4 linked regions of the Caenorhabditis elegans genome follow. The protein of the gene in region 1 binds, or shares a complex with, the protein of each later gene. Each region holds a gene or a part of one and is shown on either strand. Other genes may lie near its edges. The genes, in order: mdt-4, sur-2, mdt-31 and rgr-1.

What was found.
Region 2: mdt-4 (region 1) and sur-2 share a complex: the UniProt entries of both Caenorhabditis elegans proteins name them as parts of the mediator complex.
Region 3: mdt-4 (region 1) and mdt-31 share a complex: the UniProt entries of both Caenorhabditis elegans proteins name them as parts of the mediator complex.
Region 4: mdt-4 (region 1) and rgr-1 share a complex: the UniProt entries of both Caenorhabditis elegans proteins name them as parts of the mediator complex.

What each region holds. Positions count from the first base shown.
Region 1 is NC_003280.10:4,941,002-4,945,784, reverse strand, and holds mdt-4 (Mediator of RNA polymerase II transcription subunit 4), read left to right. Parts: upstream 1-1,835; 5' UTR 1,836-1,842; coding exon 1,843-1,920; intron 1,921-2,030; coding exon 2,031-2,285; intron 2,286-2,334; coding exon 2,335-2,589; intron 2,590-2,912; coding exon 2,913-3,149; intron 3,150-3,265; exon of another isoform or gene 3,266-3,432; coding exon 3,433-3,612; coding exon of another isoform or gene 3,613-3,622; 3' UTR 3,623-3,678; downstream 3,679-4,783. Other genes in the region: SURF6 homolog gldi-11, read left to right, coding at 1-49, 105-216, 261-1,120, 1,163-1,459, 1,510-1,605; ZK546.19 (uncharacterized protein), read right to left, coding at 3,467-3,622, 3,910-4,014; cblc-1 (MMACHC-like protein), read left to right, coding at 4,637-4,729, 4,771-4,783. UniProt on the Caenorhabditis elegans protein: Component of the Mediator complex, a coactivator involved in the regulated transcription of nearly all RNA polymerase II-dependent genes.
Region 2 is NC_003279.8:14,784,199-14,789,305, reverse strand, and holds the start of sur-2 (Mediator of RNA polymerase II transcription subunit 23), read left to right. Parts: upstream 1-1,502; 5' UTR 1,503-1,509; coding exon 1,510-1,620; intron 1,621-1,685; coding exon 1,686-1,879; intron 1,880-1,963; coding exon 1,964-2,345; intron 2,346-3,343; coding exon 3,344-3,607; intron 3,608-3,662; coding exon 3,663-3,835; intron 3,836-4,658; coding exon 4,659-4,926; intron 4,927-5,107. Other genes in the region: F39B2.3 (15-oxoprostaglandin 13-reductase), read left to right, coding at 1-175, 259-341, 537-1,088. UniProt on the Caenorhabditis elegans protein: Component of the Mediator complex, a coactivator involved in regulated gene transcription of nearly all RNA polymerase II-dependent genes.
Region 3 is NC_003279.8:8,963,878-8,967,626, forward strand, and holds mdt-31 (Mediator of RNA polymerase II transcription subunit 31), read left to right. Parts: upstream 1-2,236; 5' UTR 2,237-2,252; coding exon 2,253-2,280; intron 2,281-2,419; coding exon 2,420-2,521; intron 2,522-2,628; coding exon 2,629-2,793; intron 2,794-2,843; coding exon 2,844-3,085; 3' UTR 3,086-3,124; downstream 3,125-3,749. Other genes in the region: snpc-4 (snRNA-activating protein complex subunit 4 homolog), read left to right, coding at 1-138, 217-429, 499-653, 709-778, 823-1,047, 1,105-1,425, 1,474-1,683, 1,732-1,869 and 1 more; spd-2 (Spindle-defective protein 2), read right to left, coding at 3,218-3,548, 3,596-3,749. UniProt on the Caenorhabditis elegans protein: Component of the Mediator complex, a coactivator involved in the regulated transcription of nearly all RNA polymerase II-dependent genes.
Region 4 is NC_003281.10:9,392,183-9,397,434, forward strand, and holds the start of rgr-1 (Mediator of RNA polymerase II transcription subunit 14), read left to right. Parts: upstream 1-1,921; coding exon 1,922-2,065; intron 2,066-2,116; coding exon 2,117-3,197; intron 3,198-3,294; coding exon 3,295-3,895; intron 3,896-4,342; coding exon 4,343-4,517; intron 4,518-4,748; coding exon 4,749-4,766; intron 4,767-5,252. Other genes in the region: gpr-2 (G-protein regulator 2), read right to left, coding at 1-107, 158-658, 712-959. UniProt on the Caenorhabditis elegans protein: Component of the Mediator complex, a coactivator involved in the regulated transcription of nearly all RNA polymerase II-dependent genes.

The sequences.
Region 1 (4,783 bases):
AGAAACATTAGAAGCTGTAGAAGATGCAGTGGACATTCTTGAAAAAGAGGTAGCGTACACACATCCTCGAAAAGTGGCCGAGAAACAAAACATTTTAATTTCAGATGCTCTCCTTCTGCAACCTGATTCCAGTTAACTCTTGGGGATTTGATGATGATGTCAAAGAATCATTGAAGATGCGAAAACACAGTTTGGTTAATCGACAACTCAGCAAAAGTAATTTATTGATAAATTTCTTTAAAATTCTGTATGTTTTTCAGAGGAAAGAAAGTCAATGTCTGCACAACAGAAACAACATCTGGCGAAAGGCTTAGGATTGGTTCCAAACACTGTTCAAGAAGTCCTCGAGTGGATGTCTAAAAGCAAGCAGCATTCGAAAGTGCAACCACAAAAGGTTGTTGCACCGGTGAAGAGACCAGCGGATCAGAACAAGAATAAAGAAAAAGTAGTGAAGAAAGACCAGAAAAAGCAAGATAAGAAAGCTGATTCTGATTCAGAAGAGGATGATTCATCTGACGACGAGGAGAAAGAAGAAACAGACGAGCCAGTTGCTAAGAAGCAAAAGAAAGAAGAATCTTCAGATGATGATGAAGACAGTGAAGATGGAGAAGAGCCTGAAGGAAATAATGGAGCTGTAGAGGCTGAGGACAGCGATTCAACGGACGAAGAAGAAGAAACACCATCTAAACCCAACAAAACCGTAGCACAATCTACTCTGAAATCGAATGGAAAAATTGACAAGGAGATTCAAAAGTTGGAAGACGATGAAGACAATGAATCCCCCGAAATCAGACGTCAAATCGCTTTGCTGAGACTGCAGAAAAAGCTGAAGGAAATGAAAGTTGAGCGGAAAGGAAAAGGACCGGCGAAGGTAACATCAGCGATGGCTGAAAAAATGGCAGAGGAGAAGCGTTTGAAAAGACGGGAGAGCAAGCTGAAGCTGAAACAAAGAAGAGCAGAGGAGAAGAAAGGAAAAGAGGCAGCAGCTCAAGTGAAGAAAGAGACTGTTGAAAGCACAGAAAATGGCAATGAGCCTGTCGAGAAGCAGAAATCTGGAATTTCATTCAATAATCTCAAGTTTGAAATCAAAGAAGACAAGCAGAGGGGCAAGAAACAAAGAGTGAGTAAAAATATTTTTATCTGAAATATCTGAAATTTTCAGACCGCCAAAAAAGATCGAGCTCTTAAACTTACCGGACGTGACTATAAATCACTTATCGCTAAAGTCGAAGAGACAAAAGCAACAATTGCCAAAGTTCGCGAAGCTGATCCACATAAGGCTACCATCATGGAAGATGAGCTAAAGTGGGAGAAAACACTGAAAAGAGCAGCTGGTGGAAAAGTGAAAGATAATTTGGGAATGCTCAAGAAGGCTTTGGTGAAGAAGAATAAGATGAAGGATAGAAGAAAGCAGAAATGGGAGAACCGAGAGAATAAGACGGAGGGAGAGAAGCAAACGGTATGTTGATTGGTAGAAAATCCTTTAAGATTTGAATTTTTATTTTTCAGAAGCAAGACAAGAGAAAGAAGAATCTCCAGAAGCGCATCGATGACGTCAAGAAGAGAAAGATGAACAAGTTGAGAAACAAGGGAAGAATCCTCTAAACAACACACATTTATCCGCTTTTAATTTCTCGTTGTTGAACATTTTTTTGTTAATTTTTACTGTTAACTTTTTTCTTTAAATCTGTGGCCTGTTGTTAAGTTTTTAAGTTTTCAAATTATACTAAATTCTTTGAAAAATATTCTCTTTTTTTTTGAAACTTGTGCCGTTGTTTCGGTAATTAATTATTTTAAAAGTTGTTAATGTATGTTCGATGGTTGTATTGTTCTAGATCTCAAATGGCAGAAACAGATGAACGAAGTCTACGGGATTTGCTCCTGGAATCTGCAGATGATTTGGAGCATATTGTTAAAATGGTACGTTCTAAAAAAATTTGAAACAATATTATAGTTTATTTTAAAATTACTTTTTACTGTGAGTTCATCTTATAGAATTCATGAACCCACATAATCAATTATTGTTTCAGATCGTCGATACACTCATCAATCGGGACAAAAGTGTTATGCTGAAAAATGGAGAAACCGTTACGAACATTATCAAGCTGTTTGACTCAAAACAGGATAGCATAAAGACTTTGCTGAAGAGGGTTCCTGAGTTTCAAGAACGAGAGCAGCTCATTCGGACGCTTGAAGCCCACGTGGAGAAACGAGACGAAGTTATTCAACAACTTGAAACGAATTTGAAGTCATGTGAGGTGGCTCTGACGCGATCTTGTTTTCATGTAAATTTTGTTGGAAACAAAGACTTTTTTCGAAATACGTTTATTTCAGGCAAACCAGAAGCTCAAGCAAATGAAAGAAGCTGAATTGAGACCAGTCAATAGTGAGATGCTCATCAAACTGGCTCATCAGATCAGTAAGCACAACTCCGTATCTGCACCACTCACTTGGCAAATGGGAGATCCATCGCGTCCGTTTCCTCAGGAACACGAATTTCGAGCTGGTCACCTATTGAATTCAAAAGTTCAGAGCACTGGACCTCAGCTTTTACCCGGAAAGAACGTCGCTCAGAGGCCGCTTATTACGGTATGTTTATGGAAACTTGTTGAAATGTGAATCCTCACCTGAAATATTTGATAAATGCATTTATAAATGCATTTATATAAATGCAATACTTCTAATGTTTTCTACGTTAATCTGAAATTCTTTTCACACTGTAACCGAACAGCTGTGAATCACGTGATTTATGTCTTATCTTCTTACATTATCTAACAGTCATTCCTTCTAATGATCAAATTATGAGTGATAAGAAATATTCAGTTCATATTGTGATCTCTTTCCTTCTACGTTATTCGTAGTAAATTTTATAAATAAAATTAAGATTCAACGTTCAATCAATATTATTTCAGTCTCCATCCGCATCCTCATCCAACGGTGGAACAGCTCCAATTCGAACTGTCGGCACTCCTCTTATTAATTCTGCTCCGACTGGAGATTTCAGTCCACGAACTGGTTTTGGCACCGACGAGCCTCCACCGATTCAACAGCAAGTACTCCGTGGAGCCACTCCAAATGAAAAGCAATGGCAGAATCCGGGAGTTTCAGGAGCCACCTCAACGCAATCCCCTTACAACCGTGTCTCGCAGGTCAGTGCAAACCGAGTGTACATAGACAGTGTTACTGGCGGCCCGCAAATGATGCACGGGTGGCGCAGTGGTAACGCGTTTGCCCGTTGTTCAGCTGTCCACCAGTTCGATTCTCAATGCACACAGAAAGTCGAGATTGCCGGCTTCAAAGGCTTTATCGTTGATTACGTGTGCTATAACAACGCCATAGGTATCATTCTTCGTCTTCTTAGGCGCGGAACATCTAAATATGGCTACATTTATCTGCTATTTTATAATTTTCCAATAAATAACATATTTTCAGAGTCCTTCTTCCTCGCCAAACGTGAAGCTGAAAATTACTGGACTTCCGAATCGTCCAGGAGGTATCGATCAAGTTCAAGATGTGCGGGATGTCGAACAAATGTCGTCGGACAGCTCCAACTCGTCAGATAGTTCAGATGATGAAGGCGCATCGAAAAAGACTGGCAGTAGCAATAAATAATGAAAGATCTCTGTAAATTCTGGTATTTTACTTATTGTACGTTGATAAATAAACACAATTTTCTATATATCTTGTGTTTAACAGTGACACTAACTGATTGCATGTGGTTCAGTGTCCACGCCATGTTTACCGCTATGCCAGCTGCCTTTCTTTCTTTCTTTATGTCCTCTAATCTATTTACTCCTTGAACTTTTTTTTCAACAATTCTAGTAACTAATTATATTTAGAAATATGCCAAATTTTGGAATATACCTAAGTTAGCTTTTGATTCAAATCTTATTTTAAAAAAACACTCACCCCATCTAGAGACGCAGAAACGAAAGGGACCACCCATGACAAGAGAGATGCGGAGTACGTGAAAAGATGCACAAAACATGTTGCAGTGAAAGTGTTGTTAGCCATCACTTTTTTTTGTTTTTGTGGGCTCAAATCAGTTTGAAGAAAAGTTGAAGTTGTAAAATTTCGCCTCCTTTCGTTTTTTATGTCATTTTATATTACTTGCCCTTTGGTAATAGATAAGAAATTATCTCTCCCATCAGACACATTCCCACACATCTTCTTTTGACTTGCCTCCACACAACTAATCTAGATATAGATGGGCGGTCCTGATTCTTGAATACAATACATGTGGAATGTTTTGTTTCGGAAGGATTCTTCAAGATTTCATTTGAATTTTCTTAATTGAATTAATACTTTCTATCTTATTATACTCTTAAATTTGCGATTTTTCGGCAAAAAATACTGCATCTGGTCTCGACAAAGCTTTCTTTAATTTGTTGTTAAATACAAACGGATGTGCACCTTTAAAGAGTACTGTACTTTCAAACTTTTGTTGCTATATAATTTTCATCGATTTTCCGATAGTTTTCGATAGAATAAAGCATAAATTTCACCAAAATCAACACGACAGTTTGAACACACCTTTCTTATTTAGAAAAAATGAAACAATTGTCGTGGCGAGATCAGGCATCGTACTTTTGACGCAAAACATTGCGTCTAGATAATAATTTCCATGTTTTCAGATATGGTAACTGAAATGAGCCATGCAGAATCCATCAAACGAGTTGTCGACCAAAAACTCTCCTCACACGAAGGATTTGAATCCCATATGTTCAAGGTAATTCCAAAATCATTTAAATCATCAAGTTCGTCCTTCAGATTGGATCTTACA
Region 2 (5,107 bases), on another chromosome or scaffold:
TATGGAAAACTACCAAATCTTCCATATGTACCAGGAAAAGATGGAGCCGGATTCGTCGAACTTGTGGGAGAAAGCGTTAAAAATGTGAAAGTCGGCGATCGAGTCTGGTATGGATCAGAAGCGGACAGTACAGCAGAGTATGTTGCGGTGAATCGACCATTCGAGTTGCCGGAAGGTAAAAGAATCATTGCGCAACGGGTTACTGTAGCTAGTTGCCCGCGTGGCGAGACCTAAGATATAGCTAAAATCTCATTTCAGGAGTTTCGTTTGAGGAAGGAGCTTCTCTCGGAGTGCCTTATCTTACCGCTTATCGTGCATTGTTTCATCTTGCTGGTGCAAAGGTTTGACTTTTATTTATTATTAAATGGTTCATAGAGAATATTAAAATTTTGGCAAAAACGTATCAAAATTAGGAGGCAAAATCAATACAAATCAATCTTTACAAAGCCAACTTGACCATCTGTTCCATCTCAAACAAGGGGCGGTCTAAAATACGACCATCTGCTGTTCCCTCCCAAAACTAATTCTCTTCTCAGACTGGCGACGTTATACTTGTACACGGAGCATCTGGTGGAGTGGGAAGTGCACTGATGCAGCTGGCTGCCTGGAGGAACATTGAAGCTGTTGGCACTGCTGGATCTGCTGATGGGATCCGGTTCGTGAAGAGTCTTGGTGCACGGAATGTCTATAATCATTCGGATAAGCAATATGTGTCGAAAATGAAAAATGATTATCCAGGAGGCTTCAACCACATTTTCGAAATGGCTGCTCACACAAATCTGAACACGGACCTCGGATTGCTGGCTCCACGTGGTAGAGTTGCAGTAATTGGAAATCGCGCCGAGACCACGATCAACGCAAGACAACTTATGGTTACAGAAGGAGCTGTTTACGGTGTAGCATTGGGAATGTCTTCCGAGGCTGAGCTCTTGGACTTTGGCATCAACATTGTCTCATTCTTGAAGGAAACCGAGTTTCGTCCACTTATAAACAAATTGTATCGTCTCGAGCAATTAGGACTGGCTCATGAGGAAATTATGAACAACAAGGGAGCGAAAGGAAATCTTGTAGTGCAAATCGAACATTAATTCATTATTTTAACACGCCATTTAAAGGAATGTAAATGAGAATAAACTGTACTTTTTATGAAGATATGAAAAAAATAAATTAATCTAGATTTCAGCTTCTTGAAACTGATTTTCAACAGAAATTTGGCAAATCAGTCCAAATGTCAGTTTACCTACAATAAAAGTCAAGATATTTAAATGTGTGAAATGTATTATATATGTAGTAGTTTTTTCGCAGAACTCTGGTAGAGTTCAAATCCGCAGAATATGCGTGAACGAAGAGACCACACACCAAGCGCGCTCTATTGTCACGCGTGAGAGAGAAGAGGCGCAGTAATATCTTTCTCAAACAATGCGTTTTTAATTTTTATCAACCTATTTTGTTTCAATTTATTATTTTAACATTTTTCTTTTGAAAATTATTACATTTTCAGGCAACAAAATGACGGATAAACCTGGTTCCGCAGAAGATACAATTGAAATGGATGACACGTGCTCTCCGCAATTTGTTCAGGAAGTCAATCGAATAAAGAGTCAAATTAAAAGTCTCGTTGTGAGTTTTTTAAATCAAAAATAACGCTTAAAAAATTAAACATAACTCATAAAAATATATTCTAGGAAGAAAACCACACAAGAAAATTTTTTCGACCTCTTACGTCGAATATTGGCGACGAGACGGCGATTTTACGGATTCAATTCAATAATATGATGAGTAAAATGGAAGAAAAAGAAAAACAATCTTTAGTGAAAGAGCTAATAAAAATGGTTCATCACGTGGCGGAAAAGAACTCTCCTGATCGAGTTTTTGTTGGGTGAGAATTTAAAAATTCGAAAAAAAAACAATTTTAACAGTTCTTTTGCATATAATCAGAGGTTTTAACAGTGTTTTATTCCAGAACAAACTACGAACGTGTCGTAGATCAGCTTCTCCGATATGCTCATCAAAAAGGTGCGATTTCAACGAATCTGTGCGCAGAAGGACTCATAATGACTTCGGACTTCCGATTATGCAGTAGAATATGCCAAGAAAAATGGAAATTCATCAATGATTGCATTCCAAAAATCGATTACAAAGGAATTCGGAATATCCTCCGATATATTCTGGAATCACAGCTCCGTCGCCTACCGTATTCACTATCTCCGGAGCAAGTAAACGAAATCCGCATTGTTGAGAATGTAATACTGCATATTGTGGATAGAGACTCCAATTTGATGCCTCCACTCATCACATTATCAGAAATTATGAGAGGAATGCCGAAACAGGCGCTTATGCTGCCGGTGAGGGGAAAATTTTAAAAAAAATTGCTGAAAATATAAAGACAATGTAAAAATTTAGATTTGTTAATTTTTTTTTTCGGCAAAAAAAACACAAAAAAAAGATCTCTCTACATTCAAAAAGTCGAATTTTTTTTTGGCGGAAACCAAAAAAAAGTTCGACCATTCTCGCAAAGTTTCTAATTTCTGTGCATTTAGTTTTTGAGTTACAGAAAGTAAACCAAATTGAATACTACAGAAGTTTTAAAAAACTTAATTTAAGCCATAAAAAAATGACGGGAAATTTCTTCTGATTTCTAAATTTTCAGTTTCTCAACATTTTATTTGAAGTTTTTACCAAGGGTGGGCGGCAATTACCGTTCGGCAAATCGGGCAATTTGCTGGTTTACCGATTTGCCGTTTACCGGATGTTAAATTTTCCGCAAATGTTTTGAGGGATTTTTTCATAAGACTGAAACACTTAAAACTGTGACTTTTTGGGCTGTTTTTCCCTTTTCCTCAGATATTTTTATAGAATTTGCTTACTTTTCAAAAAAGATGTAGAAAAAAACATTCAAACACTCACAGGATGCGTACAATTCTGAAATTCCCAAAAAATTAGTGCGAAACCACAATTTGCCAAAAATTTTCGACAATTGGTATTTTTCCGGTAAATTCGGAAATTTGCCGGTTTCACGATTTGCCGGAAATTTCAATTCCGGCACTTTGCCGATTTGCCGAAAAAATCGTTTGCCACACACCCCTGATTTGTATGCTGATTGACTGAAAAATCACCTTCATCGACGAAAAATTATCTGAATGTACAAAACCACAATTTGCCGAAAAATTTCGGCAATTTGCTGATTTTCCGGCAATCTGCTGATTTGCCGGAAATTTCAATTCCGGCAATTGTGGATTTTTTTTGCAAAAAGCGGCTCGAGATGAGTCACGGATCGACCCATCTCGATTCATTTACCAAGCCTATATTTCTTAAGATTAAATTAAAATGCCAAATATTACAGAGACTAACGGAGAAACTGGCAAGCTTATCCGTCCATTTCCGACCAATTGCCGACCTATCCCACGTGTGTGGCCGTGGATTCGTTTACCCCATTCCACTACATCCATCATTCTATCCATTAACATCGTGTTGGGAAGAACATGGATTAAATGCCAGTAATACAATTGTTCAACCTCATCATACACTTCCATATCGTCCTGAACATACTTCTACATACTTGTACACCCTCTACATGATTCTTCGTCAGCCATTGGGAAAGGACTCGGTATGAAATTGAGAATATATATATTTTAAATAACTTATCCCGAATTAAGTTTCAGCTTCATCCTCCGAGCAAAACGAAGACAAAGACAAATTGGGAAATGTTGATATCTGTAATGATATGTGAATCAATGGCCGAAGCAGAATCTCTACCGGAAACTGAGCCAATTCCACGATATCAATGGGACAATATTGTTAATATTGTTATTTATGGGATTACACAACATTTATTGTTAGTGTATTTCAAATTTTTCGATTTTGCGAAACCCGAAAAACAAAAATATTCCTTTTTTCAATTATTTTTCGCAAATTCAGAAAAAAAATCCAATTTTTTACTTTTAAAGTAAAATTCTAAAAAATCCGAACATTTCGATTTCCGACATTCAGGAAAGCTAAATTTTTGGGTTTTTCAAAGAGAAAATCGAAAAAAAAAAGATTCTATTTGAAAAACACAAGTTTTGAATTTCAAAATTGTCTTGAAAAGCCAGAAATTTGAAAGTAGAGCTAATAATTTAATTTAAAAACTAAGCGTTTCAATTTTTGGTTTATTTCTGAAGGAAAAAAAAATCCAAAATCAAAATTCTTAGGATAAAAGCTATAATTTAAACAAAATCTTTTGAAAATTCTTCAAAAATCTGAATGTTCTTGACTTTTAGACCTTCAAAAAAAAATCGAAAAACCAAAATATTTCTTTTTTTCAATTATTCTTAGAAAATTCCAGAAAAATCCAATTTTTCACTTCTTAAATAAAATTTCGAAAAAAAATACCGAAACTTAAGATTTTCTTGAAATGTTTTTAAAAAAAAATTTACCAAAAAACAAAACTTTAGATTTCCGACATTTAGAAAAATTGAAAACCAAAATCTTTAATTTTTCTTGTAACTTTTTCTTTTAAAAAATCCAAAAAGAGAAGTTTTGGATAATAGATATTCTCGAAAATCTGGAAAAATTATTTTTTAAGTCTAAAATCTATCGAAATTTTGAGTTTTTGTTCCCTAAAAGCTAATGTTTTCGATATTGAGACCTTAGAAAAAACCGAAAAATAGCATTTTCAGAGTCCCAAAAACATTCTTCAATGTTCTCAAAAATTTGATAAAACGATGCAAGTACACACGGGCTCGCGACGAAGTTATGTGGATCGTTTTTCAAGTTGTCGGCTCTCTGTCTAATTTAACACGACTCGATGATGCGGTGACTGAAATTGTTGAGCTGTACAATGAGCTGTTTGATGGAGATGTTGTTTGGATGGGTGCATCGGATCATCCCGCGTTGTTTGCAAGGTTTCTTGCTGCAGCTGGTACTTGGATGATTTTGGAGAAAGATGTCAGTAGTAGTCTTTTTTGTTGGAAAATTCTAAAAAAGAGAGTCTGCAATCCAGAAAAACTACAAAAAATTGATGCAGCTTTTCAAATTTTTCAATACATTTTTTCACAACTTTTGAGGTCGGTAAAATGGCTCCAAATATGAATTTTTGCAGTTTTTAAAAATGATGTTATGTTCAGGG
Region 3 (3,749 bases), on another chromosome or scaffold:
GTTGAAGACGAACAACTTTTGTATGCGGTAAAAGTATTTGGAAAAGGAAATTGGGCTAAATGTCAGATGCTCTTGCCAAAAAAGACATCGAGACAGTTGAGAAGACGATATTTGCAGTTAATTGCAGCCAAGTTGAGAGTGAGTTTTTTGGTTTTATTGTGAAAAATCTTTTTAAAAATTCACTTAAATAAAAGCAATGATTAATAAAAATTTCAGTTGGCTGCCGGATTCTGCAACGCGGTCGATGCCATGAAATCCGGAAGACGTGCTCCTGAAGAGGACGAGCTGGAGCAAGAAGATATTGTGGAAGCGGAGCAGATTCCAAATGAACTCATGAAAGAAGTTTATGAGAAATTCGCCAACGAAAATCCGGATATGAATGAGACTCCCGAAGAATTTTACAAACGTGTATCTGCCTTGGAGAGACCAGTAAGATCAAAAATAAATTTTTTAAAACTCATATTTTTATTATTACTATTATTATTATTATTATTGCAGGCCGCCGCTAGAATTCGAGCTCTGAAGAATAAGCCGGATTATCAAAAAATCCAAGATAAAATCAACGAAATTGTTCAAAAGCACAAAAATGCAGCCGAAATCGACAAAGAACTACACTCCAGTGAAATTCTCTCATCGCTCACAATCACGGAAGTGTTAGTTGAAAACCAAAAAAAAAACACCATATTTTAATTACATTTTGTTTTTCAGTGATGTTCGTTACATGATAGAAAGAAGCAAGACTTTGACGCGTTACTACGAGGCTCGACAGTTTAGAAAGGTAAATTAATTGTACAGAATATTAACCCATTGAAAAATGTTCAGAACGTGGATCAAATCGGATGTCGTGTTCGTCCGATTAAGATCGATTTGGATCCAGAAACAATGCCAACATTTGATCCAAATGATGCTGAAGATGAAAAGCAAATGGTCATTGTGGAGTCGTTGTGCTCTGTAATTCGTGCTCACGACGTAAAAGAATGGGGCACTAAGTTTTGGAATGAACATCGCTTCACAGCGCCGAAATACGCTAAAAGATTTGTGGAGAATGTGAGTCAGAATAGAGAAAATAAAGTTTAATGAAAATTCACATTAAAATTCTCACAGATGGTCATAAACAAGTCAAAAGAAGTCGCTGAATGGTATTTACATGTTAACTCAAAGTCATGCAATCAAAATGATGTACATTGCCCAGCCAAGTCAACTCTTCCTCCGACTGCTGCATCATTCGATCTTCACAAAATGCTTCAAAAAGCCCGTTCTGGATTGAATCGTCTTTCTGCTGAACACTTTTACCCTCTTGATGTCTCTCTGGCTCAACAATTCAACTTCAAAAACGACGAGAGAGAGGGCCTCGACGGAGACAGACGTATGCATATCGGGTTGTCTGATGAGGTCACCAATAGTAAAGAGTATGCGAATTTTTATGTAAGTGAATATATTATATTCTTATTTTTATTTTTGATAATTTTTCAGGCTCGAATGCGTTCGATTCTTCTCGAACCAATGCGTCTTGGAATTGCTCGTGAATCGTCGTCTGATGAAACCAAGCGGCTTGTGCGCTGTCTTGCAGAGGAACGCGCCTGCGATGAAGAACAACAAGTTACCTGTGACCAAATAAGACGACGCCGGATGCCTGATGACGAGATCTATGTTACTCCAACTTCAATCTCTAGAGAACTAAATGTAAAGTTTTTTGCGTTGTCTCCACTGCTAGACGTTGTTTTTTTTCAGAACGGCATGAAAATCGATACCACCGAGTTGTTGGCTAATCTGGACAAGAATTCTGCGAAGAAAATCAGAATGAAAAGGAAGATTGGAGAGGTGAGATGTGACACTAAAATTAAACTTTTACCCCTAGTAATCCTTGCGGTACTATTATCTATATTTTTCTCATAGTCCTCAATGAAACAGTATATTTTTCAGACCGTTGCGACAGTTGCAGCGCGTCCTGCTCGTCCACCGCGTTCATCTGCAGGTACACCCACTCCAAGTCACGTCTCGATCGATACGGAGAGTAATATTTCGCTCAAAGTGGAGTTAGATTGAATATTCTATTATTGAACAATATAACTATTTTACCCAACTCTATGTCATCCTCTCCTGTGCAGTTTTACATCACTTTTTTAAACTGAACCCATTAAAAGTTGATCTCCTAAGATTATTTCACTTTTGTTTTATTAACAATCTCAGCTCTTTATGAACACCATCTGTTAAATTTGTTTTTCTTTTTCTAATAAAATGGTTTTATAGGCATGGGTCGTTTTAGTTTCAATCGATACGGTATGTTTCCATTGGAATAATATATTTAACTCATTTCGTAGTACGGATTTCACCGTATAGGTGAAAAAAGGTCATAATATCAAAATTTTGTAAATTTCTGTAATTTTTCGAAGCTTGAATTCCATTTTTTTTTCTTCAGGCTACAATACAATGCAGATGGAGAGTGTAGAAAGTGAAAAGACGAGATTTGAAGTTGAATGTGAATTCGTGCAGGCTCTTGCAAATCCAAATTATCTTAATTGTGAGTTTATTCACATACACTAGCCGAGAATAGAGAAAAACGTATTTTTATTCTAAGTTTCTTGTTTTTTTATGCACTCTTTTTCCTGCAAATTTCATATTTTCCAGTTCTCGCGCAACGTGGTTATTTCAAAGAAGAATATTTTGTCAACTATCTCAAATATCTTCTCTATTGGAAAGATCCTCAATATGCCAGATGCTTGAAATTTCCTCAATGTCTGCACATGCTTGAAGCACTGCAGAGTCAGCAATTTCGCGATTCGATGGCTTACGGTAGTTCAAATTTTATTTAATCTATCAGAAGAATAGTAACTTATTTTCAGGACCAAGCGCGAAATTCGTAGAAGATCAAGTGGTTCTCCAATGGCAGTTTTATCTTCGGAAACGGCATCGTTTGTGTATGATGCCTGATGAGGGACAAGAGCTTGAAGAATCTGAAGATGAAGCTGATATTCGACAAAAGGACACAGAGGATGAAGATGATGAGGAAACGATGAAGAAACCGGATGCTGACACAGCCGAAAAGAATTCCACAACTTCTACCGTTTCAAAGAAAGAAAAATAAACATAAAAAATGTAAATCAAATAAAACTTCATCACCACTTTATTGAAATTGAAACCTACATTTTACAGAACCGTGAATTTTTTCGAAGCCTGGACAGAAATCAGAGAATATTTGGAAAGTTAGGTTAAGATTTTACTTTCTATTCGAAAATCTTGTATTGGGAACAATTGTAACGTCGTTGACAAATGTCTGATTACGGAAAGCTGTTGTCTCGAGTAGAGTAGAGTCGTCGTTGCTGCATATCTCTTTCTTCTTCCGGCTTGTAGCAGCACGGAATTCAGTTGTAGAAGTGAAAAAATTGATGAAGAAACTACGATAAGAAGCAGCGAACAGATCACGGTCCTCGGGCTTGATAGCGGGGAATCCAACTGGAACAGCACGAAGAACTTCTTCATCGGAAAATTGGAAAGATGTGAAGTCATGACCATCGATTAGTTGATGCTGTCCTGTGCGAACTTCTAGCCTAAATAATTTCAAATGTAATACCATTTCATCTGTATTCAAATTAACAATCGAAGTCTGGTTCGCATGGTTTCTTCACCCCAAACGACATGCACAAAGAATTTGGCTCCAGGAAGAATACGTCGCTGGAATGAGGATGTTGTTGAGGCTGTCGAAAGCGAAGACGATGTACGAAAATTGTTTTCATCGTGAAGATCAATAT
Region 4 (5,252 bases), on another chromosome or scaffold:
ATGCTTCGTGGAATTCGCCATTTCTCAGCATCTCTTCGGATAGCTTCGACTTATATTTGACTACATCTCGCTCTTTTCCGAATTTCGTGGCGTAGAAGAGAGCACTTCTGTAAAAATAGAATTGACATTTTTATTAATCGTTAAAACTAAAAATTACCTGAGATCTCTGATAATAAAGAAAAGAAGATATGTCTCAGCATAGAGAGCCTTGTCGTAATAGGCGATGTGAACTGCTTCAAACTGGTCTGTTTTGATGGCAAAATCGATGCATTCTTGATACTTGCGACGCGATTCCTCGTATTTTTCGTCGAGTGACAAGCATTTCGCCTCAATTAGCATAATTTTGGTCTCAGACACAGCTCCTTCCGTATTATTCTCGTTGAACAATTTCACGGCTGCAATCTGTTCAGCACATATTGACAAAAGCTTCTTCTTCTCATCTTGATTACTCTCGACGTCTCTTTCACATCCTTCGAGGCACACGGAAGCGAACAAAATTCGAGCTTGACCGATATACTTCTCTCCGTTCTTCTTATTGCTGGTGTAATCAATGAGATCCTCAGCAAACCGTCGAGCCTTGGAGAACTTTTCCATTTTGAGTGCCTGCTGGACGATGCGACGTGTGGAATCACATGCTTCTGGGTAGTTGAAGATCAATCTGAAAAATTAAAGTTATAGAATGCCCAGCCCATTTCCGTTTAATTCACTTACTTGAACATGTTCAACTCATGTTCGAAAAACTCCAAGGCCTTGGCGTCGTGGTTCAAATGCCTGCACACTCTTCCGTAATACATGTAGATTGTACCAAGCAGTTGAAAATTGGAGGTTCCGAACTCCATTGTGTCCTCTAAGCGTCCTTTTCCATCCTCGTATTGTCCCAATTTCATGGCCGTCACCGCGCTTTTCAGCATTGCTTCGATGACTTCATCCTTAGGGCCATCATAATAAGAGACGTCCATTCGTTTTGCGAATGTGGAAACTTCTGAAATAAATCGAAAATTGCGAGCAAAAATAAAAAAATAGAGGAATTTTACGCAAACAGACAAAAATTTCACGCGGATCTGCACGAATACACGAAATATTTAAAACGGGGAAAGTTTCTTCAAATATCTCACGAGGTTTAATAGACTATTACACATTTTGTTTAAAATTTTACAATTTTTCAATAAAACAACCGCTGAAAAACAAATAAACTTGAACAATGACTCGAGAATCTCTGTGGGGAAGTGAAACTTGGCGGTTAACGCGTTGTTTTTTCGCGCGCTCTCAACTTCTAATTTAGCGCCGCTTTCTGATATGTCGTCAAATGTGTTGCCGATGTACGCAAGTACACCATCACGCGCATTTGCACACTCAGTGGAGTTTGCAAACAAATTTTCAAAAATAAATTAAATACTGTTTATTGTTTAATTTTATGCATATTTGTACAATTTGAATGTTATAGTTTGATTAAAACTATTCGAAACATGTAAATAAACTTTAAATTTGTAAATGTGTCGCTTCCCAGACCGTATATTGTGTATTCTTCAAATAAATATGTATTTCGCAGAAACTGTCTTCCCAACTCCGAGCCGCACTGGCGGATAATTCGCCGGCTGCTCCAATATCACCGGCTCCATCTGGCTCGGCCTTGTCACTCGATGAGTCGTCTGGAATTTCAGACCGCGATGTACATTCTTCTCAGGAACAAACGGCACATCTCTCCGAAGTCGATGTAAAATCGATTCATTCATCGGATAGCGAAGATGGTATGCTGCAGTAGAACAAGGAAGATATTTATTTTCTATAATTTCCAGAACCAGCGCAAAATCCCTTACCAGAAGTTCCTGCAAATTGTGGCCCTCCGACGATACCTCTAAATGTTCTATTAGACTTTGCAATTCAACATGTTTACCACGAGATCACAGTTCTTGCGGAATTGATGCAGCGGAAGACAAATGATCAAGGAGAGCAGGAGCGGAAAATGTCTCTTGTACATTTTGCACACGCTACTCGCAGTCAATTTTTGAAACTTGTAGCATTAGTAAAATGGATACGGATTTCGAAGCGAATGGATGTTTGTTATGTAAGCTTAATTCGCTCGATTTCGATCGAAAAAAAAACATTAATTTTCCAGTCTATCGACTACCTTCTCGATCTCCAATCACAATATTTCATCGACACGGCCGATCGATTAGTCGCAATGACTAGGGGAGATCTCGAATTAGCTCGTCTTCCAGAATACCATATTGCGCCAGCTATTGATGTTCTTGTATTAGGAACGTATAATCGAATGCCATCGAAAATCAAAGAAGCTTTCATTCCTCCAGCAAAGATCACACCGAGAGAACAGAAACTCGTCACTTCCCGATTAAATCAGCTCATTGAAAGTCGGCTTTCTCGACTTTCAAGCGGAATCCCACCAAATATAAAAGAAATTCACATCAACAATGGACTTGCAACTTTACTGGTTCCTGGAGAGTTTGAAATCAAGATTACATTGCTCGGTGAAACAGAAATGACAAAGTGGACTCTATTGAATATCAAAATTCTCGTGGAAGACTACGAACTTGGAATGGGACTTCCTCTTGTACATCCATTACAGCTTAATCAGCTTCATGGAGTACTGCAATCTCGGATGAATGTTTCCTTAAATCCTATTAAAGAAGCTTTCTCCTTTTTGCACAGTTTCTGTGTTTCACTACAATTGGATGTTTTGTTTTGTCAAACTTCAAGATTGGCAGCTGGAAGGTTACGTGATAACATTACAATCGAAAAGTATGACCCAAAAGAACGAGTTTTGGTAGTTGGATACTGGGTTAAAAGATCGAAGAGTCGAAGATTAACTGTAGGACAAGTCAAATGTGATGCACAATACAGAGTTCAGATCTATGAAGATCCAAATGACAAGCTAGGTGGACTTAAAGTTCGTCATTTCCCTCATGCTCCTCAGCTCGGACGACTTGATTCTGGAGCTGGAATGTTGTCAATTGATCGACTATTATCAGAAACATATGTGGTCAGATGTAAGGAACGATTGATGCGGTTGAGAAGAATCCTTGAAGCTGCTGAACCAAGATTAGAAGTGAAGATGACTGGAATCTCTGCACCGTCACTTTCTCTTGCTCTCCTACCGGATACCTCTTCAAAGGATGAAATGATGACGGTATCTGTGAATTCATTCTGTGGAAAAGTGCTCTGCAACGTTCACATTCTCAGTGAGTTGTGTCGTTTCAAATTCCAGCATATTAATTTTAAAAAAATACTCTATTTTTTACCAAAATTATAAAAGAAATAAACTTATTCATATTTCAGGTGCTGAACACGAAGATGTCCTGGCTTTTGGAAAAGCTCTCTACAGTAGTCAATGTTCAGCGCACACAATTCAAATGTATCTTAGAAAACTTCGTGTCGCCCTCGTGATAGAACGATATCGACGATCAGTGAAAGCTCTTCCAGTTCGTGAAGTTCAAGAAGCTGAGCTTCTTCCATTTGCAAAGGAATGTCTTGGTGATGCTCCTGCCCAACGAATTATTCTTCAGTTCCTTCGATCTGAAGACTATTATCTGCTTGTCACATTCTCTCCCGATGAAAAAGCAGTTGTTAAGACTCACATTCAACTTTTGGAAGTTGTTGGAGACCGAGCTCAGTTCATTCAGTTGGAGGATGATGAGATGAATGGAATGCATGTAAAAGAAGCGATTAATCAAGGAACGATGCGTTTCTCGCCATCTCATAAAACATCACTTCAAGAAGAGTGTTCGAGAGAGCAGAGACTTGCATTTGCAGTGGCTACTGTAGAAGATCGGATCACGTACATGTATCTGGCGGCTGAATTAATGAAAAAGGGAATTGGAGTTGATGTGAGAAAAGATTCAGCACACGTTCCAGGAGGGCTTGCTCTACATATCACGGAGTAAGTTTTTTTCTAGATTTCGAGCACTTATATTAAAAATTGAGCAGCAGCGTCAAGAAAAAATTCTAAGGTTCGAAATAGTCTCAAGTTCAGAAATATCACAAAAGACAAACGAAAAAATCGCTTCAGAAATTTTTCAATATTGACTGAATTCTCGGTTTGAATTTCATCCAAGTTTTGAGAGTTTGATTTTTTATTCTTTCACAATTTGTTTTTCTTTTTTCTTTTGTGGTTTTATTTTTCTGAATTTGACATTATTTTGAATTTTTGAAACAAAATCCCCAATCTCGCTAAATACTTCATCTTTAAACATTTTCCGCCAGTCTTAAAATGTAATACTGCCAGTATTCATGATTTGAAAACAAATTGAGAAAATTGAAAAAATTGACTTTTTCAGACAAATTTTATTTCGTCCGAAACAATTTTTAAAAATCTTGTAATTTTCAGTGTGAAAAATGTTGTTCCATTCGAGGCAAGCGAATTCTTTGAATGTTGTATCAGATGCTGCCTTCGTCTCGATAATCGAAATCGCTACACATTCCAATTCGAAATGTGCTTTGAAAATATTCCATTGGTTCGAGACGTACCGCATGGTCTCCCACATCGTCGGGATGGTGAACCGGTACGTCATTTCTTATTTAATTTTAACTTAAATTCTCAGAAAAGATTGCCGTGCCGCCCGAATTATGATCGGTGTCGTATTGTTGTCGTTCTTAGAATATTAGAACAGATGAGAATGCAGTTTTTTTTAAAAATATATTTATTCTACTTTTTCGGTTTTGGTATCTATCCTAGCTTTTAGAAAATAGAATTTCCTGTGATGACACATTTAAATATTAGTTTTTGATTTCAGAAAGATCGCACCAGTAAGGTTAGTTTTATTGCTTCGGATTGTGCATGATATGTTGCTTTTGCATGCTTCTTGTCTAACCATTTATGTTTCCTCACTGAGAATATCGATTTCTTGATTTTTTTTGCAATAATTCCCGATTCTTGCAAAATTTTGAATCAAGTTTTCCGAAATTTTCATTCGGAAACAGGAAAACATTTTAAAGAAAAAATTCAATTCAAGTGGTTTTTCCAAGAAAATTTCCCAGAAAATAGAATTTACGCTTTTTAATTTATTAAAATTATACATATCTTAATACTCGATTTGGATAATTTACGTACTTTCGAGTTAATCTATTTTTTATACTAATTTTCAAGTTTTTTTCCCGCAAAATTTTGGTTTCTTGACTATTTTTACGGATAATTTTTTTTTAATCTTTCAGGAAACTAACATGTTTTTAAAAAAATTTATTTAGTTTATTTTGATGAGAAAAAACATATGAAAACATGTAATTTTCTACAAAAAAAA